Linked DNA regions of Nothobranchius furzeri. The protein of the gene in region 1 binds, or shares a complex with, the protein of each later gene. Links are inferred from orthologs where the notes say so. Each region holds a gene or a part of one and is shown on either strand. Other genes may lie near its edges.

Region 1 (5,211 bases):
TTTACAGCCTGGTACCAAAACATGTTTTTGGTTTAAATGATCTAGTTTACACTCATGACAACTCTGAGGGGGGTGGATTGTTTTCTCACTCTTCTGTTTAAGTGTATTAAAAGCCTAAAATTCTGTATAATTAATGAGCATCAGACCCACGTGACCACAGAGCTAGCTCTGTGGAAAGGCCTCAGTTGAGCCTCAGTCTGGCCTGGAAACTGTTCTGGGATTTTCAGTCTCTGTGTTTGTGTATTATTTTTGGGATATTATTTGTGCAATTGTTGGACAAAATGACTTGCTGTGGCATTAATTGCACTAATAGAGCGTCCAAGGAGTCTCCACTTCATTTTTCGGTAAGTAAAATTATATTTATGTATTTTAGGTCACTGCCGAGCTGAGCTTAGATTTTAACATGTACTGTTTAACCATGAAATTTAAATGTAATAGGGTAAAACCCAGTGCATTTAACATAATGCTGCACTTTAGAAAATGGGTTGAAATATAACATGTTGGTGGAGCTGGGTTCCGACTATCGGCTTGTGGAGCTCTCGGGAGACCTCTGTGTTCCACCCGGTTTTACCCAGCGGTCAGCCCGGCGTATCTCTGACTCAGAAGCTCTGGTGTTGTGCACAGTTAACTCCGGTTGTAGCTAGGTTGCTACCTCCATTAGCTTAGCTCCCACCTCCGCGTTAGCTTTGGGTTAGCTTCAGGTTAGCTTGTAGCTAGTTCAACCGGGTGTCGTCAGTTGATCCCAGCCTTACAGCCCCACCCTCAGCTCCACCTCTCTTCCCTTTTGTGGAATTGTCTGGGCTTGACGGAACCTGTGACACGGTCAAAATGGCCGTGGTGGCCACCTCCCATTTTTCTTCAAAAATGTGTTACTGGAGCCTATGGAAACCCATTGTCCAATATTTATATGTCGATGCATCATCCTAGCGCGAAACGTTCTGTGACTCTTAAAAAAAACAGTAAAAACGGTGAGAAACTCTGGCAGCGAATTAGTTAATAACTGAACCTTAACTAAGTCTTAAAAGAGAACTAGGCAGTTTTGGCATGCTTATACCACCCTCTAGTGTCCATTTGTGGAACTGAAAGCTGTGCGTTCATCTCCATAGCACATTCATCTAACAGCTGAAACATCGGCCAGCCTTCATTAGTGTCTACAAGAGTGATCGTCACTAAATTAGACAAATCAGCTGTTTTCATGATCTAAAACGTGAAGGAAACGTGCTGGAAGCAGACTGCAGCACCAGGTATGTCAGCTCCATTTTTTCTAAGTCCCAATAGAGCGGCCGCCAGTCTGAAGTTGCAAGCGGAATATTCTGGCCACAGGGGGCGAGGGGCTGGGTGGCCTTTCTTTAACCCTGTAAAGGGTCATTTTAACACATTCTGGCTCAAGAAAATTATTTTAAAACATGAAAAAGTTTCAAAGTGTTGCTTTAAGTAAAATTTGACTCTAAGAAGATGAAAAATCCGACGGCCCAGCTAGAATCTCGTAAGTAAATAATCAACAGCAGAGTTGATGCGGTAATTCTGACACGTGCACTCGGATCTGACATGATGCTGCAGACACCAGCAACCGTTAAACATTTAGTGTTGCATGCAGAATCTCTCATCAACAACAACAACCTTTTGTGATATTTTCTGCCTCCGAGCAAACAGCCGCTGAATCAACCTTTGAGGCGACGCTTCAGGAAATGTGTGACGCGTGTGCAAAAAAGGTGTGATCTGAATAAACGGGGATCCTCACAGCTGACCAACTCCCGCGCTCCTCGGAGTCCAGCCGGGCCTCCTGCTCCACGCGTGGACTACGCGCCCTTACGCTGCGTCTGCTGCAGCGCCGCCAACAACACACCAGCAGCTTATTGGAGCCAAACGCAGCTGTAAACCACGACTAACGCCTCAGAACCCAACGCTCGTTATTTCTACATAAACAGATCCGTCACCACAATATGAACGAATGGGATGTCATTAAAAAGAGGAGAAAATATAAATAAATAAACGAATGAATGAATGAATTAATGAATGACTGATGGGATGTAAGATGAAAATGATGCTTCTAATCTGATATGTTTTAGTGTTTTCATCTGGATTTGGTCATATTCCATTGGACAGGGACCCATTCCTTGCCCTTTGACCTTTAGCTTGGCGGTTTGTACTGTAAGTGGCTCCGCTGGGGGGGGGGCTGGCCGGCTGCAGTAAAACCCGTGTGCGGCTGAACGGAGCCTCACCAGAGCAAACGCACTAGTTCCTCACCTGTAGCGGGGGGCTGGTGTGCCGAGAGACCCGGCAAATCCAGAGAGCTGTCTGACATCACATGCTTTAGGTCTCCGCCCATGTCCGACAGCTTCATGTCCAGCTGAACTGAGAGTGCGTCCTCCGAGTCGTCCTTCCCAACGCTGCTGCCGCCGATGGACGGAAGGTCGAGGGACTTGACGGAGGCGGAGTCTTCCTTGCCGTGTTTGAACGCAGCCACTTTGTCCACTAGAGTCTTTTCCGACGCACCGAGCGCCGTGCAGAACTTCGACGACTGAAAGTCGGCAAAGTCATCCGTGTCGCTCTTGAGCGACGAGAAGGATCCGCCGCCGCTCTCCTTTGTGTCGTCGTAGGAAAGGCCTCCTTCCAGAGACAGCTGTTTGAACACGTCGTACCTGTCGGCGCCCTGCTGAGACTGCTTCGCGGAGGTCTCCCCTCGGACCCCCGTGCTGCTCTCACCTTTCGGCTCTCCACCAGAACTGCCAAACGCCATGAAGTCTGCAAAGTCATCCTGAGGCGCTGCTGCAGCTCCTCCTGCTGCTGAAGCCTGAGCCGTGTCAGAGGAGGGGCCAAAGAGGGCAAAGTCACCAAAATCATCCGTGCCTCCCGCTGGAGGCTTGGCTCCGCCGGGCAGGAGCACTAAAGAAGGAGGCACGGATGCAGAAGGGAATGTACCGGGCTTGGTCTCGGTGGACGCAGGAGCAGGGGGAGCCACCGAGGAGAAAAGGTCCAGGTCGGCCATGTTGAGAGGGTTTTTGGACTGAGATGCCGACGCTGCAGGCTGCTGTACATTCTGAGAGTTTGGGAAAGCTGAGGGGAAGGCAGGCTGAAAGATCTTGGTGGGATCTGGGGGGTCTAGTGGAGAGACGCTGTCGGCAGTTTTAAAGTCTGTGAAGCCGTCGTCGGTGTTGATGGACTTAAAATCTGCAAATCCTTCCCCTGGAAACCAAAAGATAGTAGATGAGTTGGACATAAAAAACCAAACAACAGAACAGCAAACAATGTTGTTTGTTATCCTCTAAGAAAGGAAGCCAGTCACAGAAACGCCTTTATGGACCGTGGCCTCAGAGAGAGCAGAAGACATGCTTCTAACAACACGACCACGCAGCAGACAAGTAAGAAACCCAAACAGCAAAAATGATCATCCTCAGTTTTATTCTTGATCTTCAAAAAGCCAAAATCAACCAGATGAACATTTTTGGGCAAGTCAGAACAAACTTTCACTTCGTTGTGTTGCAAAACCAAGAAACGAGACAGGAGTCGGGTAAAAACCACTGAGGAGTGATAGATGCGGTCTGTTCACACCGGCGGTGGAAGAGAGATAACTAATAGGCTCATTAGAGAGGATGGAGCCTGGCAATGCCAAAGAAAGGTCACTGCAAAGCACGACTTACTGGAGATGTAAGAGCAGCCCCCATCGGAATCTGTTCTAATGAAACACGGACGGGAAATACACTCAGATCACCACTCCGGGCTCACAAACATCCACTCTAAAACTTCAGATCAATAGTTTTATTCCCCAAAGAGGTGAAACACTCAGAATCTATGGCTGAATTTACTAGAAACGTTTGAGATGATGACAGAGATTACAGCGAGGAGGAGAAGGTGTGTTCCTTACCAACAGGTTTCCTGTCAGCGGGTTGCTCCAGCTGTCTGAACACGCTGTACTTGTCACCAACATCTGAACAGAAAGTTGTACAACAGTCACGAACCGTTTTAACATGAGTCACGGGCCACGGCTGTGACGTACGGCCCCAGATTGGAGCGCCGTGGGAGTTTGATTCACCTGATGTGGGGGGCGTCGGCTCTGCGGGCTGATCTTCAGACAGCTGCTTGAACACAGCGTACTTATCGGTGGACGTGACAGAGGAAGAGGAGGAGCCAGACACTGGAGTCAGCATGGCCGGAGTGCTGTTCAAACACAAAAGCTCACTTCAGACGAGAGGAGTGAACGAGCTTTACCCTCTAGCAGACGTCGGAGATGATTTTAATGTTTAAAAGGTTTTTAATAAACTCGCTGTGGTCTCTGGCTTGAACGAACGCCTTGTGGGAGAAAAGCCTTGGCGCTCCTGTTTCAGGAAGGAGAAGTTTATCAGAGGAGTCTTACTCCTTAATTTTCATGATATACAAATGTCTGTCCTCTGATTGGCTAACAGAAACACCACCCTTCCGTGGCCTTCGTTCACTTTTCTTTCTTGGATAAAGCCTAATTTATACTTCTGCGTCTGCGTCGGGACCAAGCCCCCACAATACGGGTCTGAAAATGAGGCCAACACGGAAGTGACAAAAATTGCAGTTTCACCCTCATCCACTAGGGGCTGGTGTCAGAAGCGAGCAAATCCTCATTGACTCCCATGTTAAAAATACCAATTTCACAGCAGAAATAAACATGTTTACAGCCTGGTACCAGAACATGTTTTAGGTTTAAATGATCTAGTTTACACTCATGACAACTCTGAGGGGGGTGAGTTTTTTTCTCACTCTTCTGTTTAAGTGTATTAAAAGCCTAAAATTCTGTATAATTAATGAGCATCAGACCCACGTGACCGCAGAGCTAGCTCCGGGGAAAGGCCTCAGTAGAGCCTCGGCCTCGCCTGAAAACTGTTCCGTCATTTTCAGTCTCTCAACTTAGACCATTAGTTGTAGCGTTTGTGCGTTCATTTTTGGATATTATTTGAGCAATTGTTGGACAAAATGACTTGCTGTGGCATTAATTGCACTAATAGGCATCTTACTGTAAAAAATATACCATTAATGTAAAAAATAAACTCTAAATAAACTATGTTCACATCCAGAATCAAACCCAGGTCTTCTGCACGACAGCTCGAACTTATACTAGGCGAGCTAAAGCACCAGTGGCATCTTCTGCATCTATAACTTTTATATCCTTGATCACAGCTGAAACAACGTTCAAAGAACGGTTCGGAGGGCGATGCCTGAGCGTGAACGCGCATGAAGCAGCCT
Region 2 (5,903 bases), on another chromosome or scaffold:
CTGATCCCACCCGCCAGCTTTACCCACCTGATCCTGAACCCTAGAAACCAGGAGAGCCTCCCAGACAACCCAGTTTGACCAGGTTCCTACCAGCTGTGTGTCGGTCCGGCCTGGTCCGCTAGCTGCAGGAGATCCTTCTTCGTGCCCCTCTCCCCCTTTCCTCTCAGGAGGGGGAGCAGGGCTGGACTCAGTGCTGAATGATGCCCAGGACTCCTCCTCTGGCTCCTGCTGCTCCCCAAAGGCCCTCCACCCAGAATCCTCCTCTGCTCCTACAGCCGAACTGAAATTCCCAAAACTGGAGCTGGCAGGAAAGTCTGGGAATTCTGCCTCTTCACCCCCCGCCTCACCCTCATTCCCAATGCTGTGGATTTTGGGAGAGTTAAAGTCTCCGAAGTCGTCGTCCTGCTCTGTGCTGACATCTAGTCCAGCAGCAGGGTCCTGCCCCTGATCCTGCTGCACCTCCCCAAAGCCCTGTCCTCCAAAGACGGCAGCATCACCAAAGTCTCCAAAGTCCTCATCATCCTCTGCAGGAGTGGCTGTGTCCCCCTGGAGAGGCGGAGACGGCACCGATCCCGTGGTGCTCATGTCACCGTATTCCTCCAGGGCTTCGGTGGACAGAGGCCGACCAAATGATGTCTCCGTCTCCGAGCTTTTCTCATCTGACTGTCCCACCTCACTGTCAGCTGTCAGGTCAGGTGAAAGGTCATCAACAGCGCCCCCAGCTGCCTCGTTAGATCCGTCCACCATACTAAAGGCGAGACAGTCATTAGTGCAATCAGTCTCTGAGCGTTCCGGTCTCAGGTCCCTTTGTAGTGAGTCAGCAATCCACCCGTCTGATGTCTCCCTAGTGTCCCTGTCCTCTGATCCCTGCTCTGTGATACTGTCCTGATTGTGGACGGCAGCTTTTGGCAGCCAGCCACCTGCTGTGAGATTGTCCCTGTTCTCATCCACCACCTGGCTCAAATGTCCTTCAGAGGTGGAAAAAGCAGCAAAATCTGCAAACTCGTCCTCCGAGCTGCCGGTGTGGACGCTTCTCGTGTCCTCAGTGAACTGTCCTTTTATCAGAGAGTGGACAGAAATCTGTGAGGACAGGCTTTCCTGAACATCAAAGGTCACAAACCCATTAGTCAGCACCCCAGTGTCTCCACCGTTACACTCAGTGGACTCACTGTCCTCCATGTTGCTCACAGATAAGTCCAGCGAGCAGGAGACAGGTTTCTTAGTCTCAGTTCTGTCTGAGGGACAATTGTCTTGGTAGTTTATGGGTCCCACACCGTTAGCCTTGGGTAGCTCAGTACCAGGTCTGCAGGTTCCGTTAGCAGGTCCGTGGCTGAAGCCCACTACCCCCCTGCTGCTGAGGAGCTCAGGAGGCGAGGTGGCGGTGAGCGCGTGTGTCTGGTCGAACGTCGTCGGGGTGTCAAACTCAGAGAGGCTGATGCTGTTTGGAACACTGGAGAAGGTCCCAAAGTCTCCAAACTCTTCATCCTCCTCCTCTGCGCCGTCCTCCATTGGCGGTGGCGAGGAGGAGTAAATGCGGATAACATCCGGCTCCATGACTCCGTGGAGGTCAGCGAGCGATCTGGGCTACACCTGCAACAGAGACAGGAAGTCATCAGTAAGCTGCAGAGTTAGCAACATGCTAACAGGCAGAGTTCAGATTGGACGATTAGACAACTATAACAAAGTATTTTGAGCTGTGAGAATAATTTACTTTGTGTGTGTGTGTGTGTGTGTGTGTCCTCTGGGTCATTATAGCAGCATATTTTGCATTCAGTTCCATATTTTGATCTAAATCTTTGTTTTATTTTAAACACAAACAGAAGAAGCTTCACTGGAGAAAACTGATAAACAGGGATTGATGGGGCTCTAGGGTGTCTCTGGTTTCTACCAGGTGTGTTTTACCTGAGCGATGACTAACCTACACACAACAGGAGGCAACATTCAGAAGAGAGTGTAGATTTTACGTTTGGGTATAAACATTCTACAGAACTTGTTGGGGTGTTTCTAAAACTGTTCTATTATTTTTTTGCAGAGTCGAAGTAAATATATGTTAGAATAGATGCTACAACTAGAGCTGGACAACTATTCAATGAGAGGTGTGATAAATAAACGAGTCTCCTTTCTTTTTTCACTACAGCCTATTGGGTAGGTTAATGCCAGAGTCATTACTTTGTCTCAACCAATCAAAAACACCGACCCAGGCATGCTCTGTCACCAAGACCTGGCCTCTCAAACCTAACTTTGACTTAAAGATGTCACAACAAGGACGGGTGGAAGAAAATGTCCCCAAAAAAAAAGTCCCAGTAGTTCACCAGCATGGCACGGTCTAGAAAAAACAAACAAGGGTTGTTTGCTAAATCTGCAGAGGCAGGATAAAAATCAAGTCTTGTAACACAACTAATGACAAATAATCACCAGGGCTGCAATTATGGTTAGCAATAATTATCTATATAAATATAAAATTATTTCATCAGTGTTTTTGTCTATATTGCCCGGCCCTAGTTACAACCATGCTCACTCAGGGAGCTGGTCAGAGACCCATCAGCTGATTCTACAACTTTCATCCACTAAGTTTGTTGGTTTATTTACAAAGTCCAGCAGGTAAATAAGGTGTTTGTTTTGTGTCAGAACTGAATAAAAGTCGGAGCTCTCAGTAGCTTTTTCAGGAACTGTTACCTTTTAACATCTACCTGAAACAGAAAACTGGCGTTGGGAGGAGCTAGAACACCTGTAGGCAGGTACACAGAGCTGGAACACGAACCTGCAAGTCCAGTATAACTGGTCACCCAGCAGGAAGAGGAGAGTGCTCTGATGGAAACTGATCCGAGACCAGTGTCCGGACTGAAAGTCACCTGTCTGAGCTGATTCGGGGTTTAATGACAGCAGCTGTTAGTGAGCCAGCACATCCTGCTCACCTGTGTCACAACTTCTCACCGTTTCTGACACTTCATCTGTCAGCCACTAACGGGGAGGCTAACCGAACCTTACCCAGACTGATTATCAGGCTGACAGAGGGAGTTTTTACATGAAAAACAGAAACAAGTCGATATGTAGGGCTTGGTTTACAAACTCTGACCACCAGAGCTCGGGTCCAGCTGGGCTAGGCTACAGGCCGAGACACCAAAACAAGCTGCTAGCTTAGCTAAATTAGCCTGTGGAGTGACAGAAAAACGAACTAACCAACATTAAGACCCACAGTAACCAGGCCGGTTATGGTCTTTTAAAGAAACAATCTGGATCAACTCTGTTGAAATCCGCTGCTAAAGGCAGCACATTAGCTGTTAGCTCAGCAACGAAGCCTACCCGGAGCTAGCTTCAGCGTTAGCCCCTAGGCTAGCTTCGTCTGACCGGACCACCAGTGGGTCTCACCGTGAGACGCCGGCCAAGAGAGTCCATGGCTCGGGTCAAAACAACGCTGTCCACAGGTGGTCGGGTTCGGCCAGCCGGACTGGGTGGGACGGCGGGGCGCGAAGGTGGAGTCAGCCGGCTGCCTCTTCTCTTCTCCTGCTATCCTGCCTCGAATCCTCCCAGCATGCACCGCTCCCAGCCTGCTTGCGTCTCTAAACTTTCCAGGTGAAACAGGTAGTTTACGGAGCCGTGCACGGGATCGAAATTCTCTAAAAAGGCTGATTCCTCCCAGAATCAACCCGTTACACACTCAGTCCACATGGTACCGATAACAGTCCAACTTTCTCCTGCTGTCTGTGGCAGAAGTCAAAGAAACTGCAAAAGCAGCCTGTGTGGAGCCCTGGCGGTGACGCTCATGATCTCAGAGAAAAATGGACCAATTCCACAATTTGAATCAGTTTGTGGTTTCTGTGCAGGATTAAACGTGGTAATACTCTCTAGATCTAAACAAGTGTTTTTTATTTTTTGTATTTTACAGTCAAATAAAATTATAAGAACGTCTAGAACATATCAAGAGTGTTTAGGGTTTCTCCACACAGATTATGTTGGTCTGTTAATCTCAATAAACTGGTGGCATTAATAAATGTACTTTAAACAGTTGTGTTTGGTTTAGCTTTTGTAACTGTTGGCAGTGACAAACAATATCTCAGACAATTAAAACACTGTGAAAAGGTTCTAGGTTAAAAGTGTCACATTCTAATCAGCTAATGAATCCATAACACCTGCAGATGGTTCCTGAGCGCTCAGATGGTCTCTAAGCTGAACTACTAAAATAAATGGACTTTAGCACCATTACAGTTTCACCTGTAGACTCTATCCCGGGTCCCGGGTCAGCTCTCTGAAGGACATGCCTGAAACACTGCTCATCTTGGTGCCTCCACTCGGACTCTTGTGGATGTCTGAGCTCTTCAGCCTAAGCCTCATTTACACCAAGTGCGGAATGAATGTGGACCGGAATCTGTGCAGCATCTCGACGGACTGCCACGTACACGGACTGCAGATTGTGTGCAGAACATCTCATCTGATGTGAAAAGCATTTGAAAGATGTTGGTAGCCAAATGCAGCTGAGTAGCTGAGTGGGAATCATTAGCAGGTTATTTGGTCTGTTGTAAACAAACGAGGGTTTGTTAGTCATCCAAAGCGGAAAAAATGGCCACCTCAGCTATTCTTCAAAGTGCATGTTCTCACTCAGTCTATCCCGTTTTCCTCTTTCCTCAGTTGGGCGCACCATCACAACTCACCACCAAGTGCTCCTGGCAGGAGGGAGGCTGTTCTGGTGGTGAGCTCTGACAGCGCTACCAGCCAGCCAATGACACGACAGCAAGAAGTCGGCTGAGGCTCTGAGGAAGACTGAAATAAATGCAGTTGAAACTGTCGGCAGGTATAACATCTCTGAAACCACGTTTATCTTACTGAATGAAAAAAAGATGCGTTACAAAACCTAAACAAACTCATTTAATGAATTAATCACACTGTACCTTAACATCACATCCTATATTTACAGTGCAGGCTATGACTTGAAGGGATTCTTGTGAGGTTAGAGAAAACATTTTGCAGGTCACTCACTACACAAATGAGAACTATATACATTCACATTATGTTATCAGTCTGATTCTGGATTGAGCTCAGCAACTGCTTGCCCAGGTTTTCACCAAGGGACCGTCGCCGTCGTCTTCCTCCGCTTGTCCGGTTCCGGGTCGCGGGGGCAGCATCCCAACTAGGGAGCTCCAGACCGTCCTCTCCCCGGCCACCTCCACCAGCTCCTCCGGCAGGACCCCAAGGCGTTCCCGGACCAGATTGGAGATGTAACCTCTCCAACGTGTCCTGGGTCGACCCGGGGGCCTCCTGCCGGCAGGACATGCCCGAAACACCTCCCCAGGGAGGCGTCCAGGAGGCATCCTGACCAGATGCCCAAACCACCTCAACTGGCTCCTTTCGATGCGGAGGAGCAGCGGCTCTACTCCGAGTCCCTCCCGAATGTCCGAGCTCCTCACCCTATCTCTAAGGAGGAGATTTCATAATTCACCAAAAGACAGGCGACAGCAAAGAGTTGGTTAATGTCGCCTGTGATTGAAAAGGGGATCACGGTGCTGAATAGTTTGTGTTCTTTAACCCTGCGAATCACACGCTCAACATGGACTCTCAGTCTCACAATGGACCGTGTCTTTCTGATCTCTGGCCTTGACAGTTGAGCTCTCTGCGACAGAAACGTGGGTATGTGGACGTTGCATGGAACACAGTCTTCAACAAGGAAACCCTTGCCCACCATGATGGCCTTTGATGGGTTCAGGAGGGCCGCAATGCCTGACTGCTTTAAGATCTCTTTATCACTGGTGGCACCTTGATAAAGAGAAGACACAAATGTCGCTGCACCATGAGGGGCTATCCCAGTCAACCCTCTGAATGTACAGTGCGGTTTGTAGTTTGAAAACACCTCGCTCTGGAGGAGGAGGGAATTTGGGGTTTGGCATCGCAGTTCTGTGCAATCTAAAATG

The links. The genes of interacting proteins can lie anywhere in the genome.
Region 2: synrg (region 1) and aftpha share a complex: the UniProt entries of both Homo sapiens proteins name them as parts of the aftiphilin/p200/gamma-synergin complex. The link is inferred for Nothobranchius furzeri from reciprocal best matches to the Homo sapiens genes SYNRG and AFTPH.

What each region holds. Positions count from the first base shown.
Region 1 is NC_091753.1:55,101,267-55,106,477, forward strand, and holds part of synrg (synergin gamma), read right to left. Parts: intron 4,159-5,211; coding exon 4,034-4,158; intron 3,929-4,033; coding exon 3,866-3,928; intron 3,187-3,865; coding exon 2,248-3,186; intron 1-2,247. UniProt on the Homo sapiens protein: Plays a role in endocytosis and/or membrane trafficking at the trans-Golgi network (TGN). May act by linking the adapter protein complex AP-1 to other proteins. Component of clathrin-coated vesicles.
Region 2 is NC_091746.1:29,670,357-29,676,259, reverse strand, and holds the start of aftpha (aftiphilin a), read right to left. Parts: upstream 3,560-5,903; 5' UTR 3,370-3,559; exon of another isoform or gene 3,304-3,369; intron 1,591-3,303; 5' UTR 1,555-1,590; coding exon 91-1,554; intron 1-90. Other genes in the region: uncharacterized protein, read right to left, coding at 5,399-5,903. UniProt on the Homo sapiens protein: Component of clathrin-coated vesicles.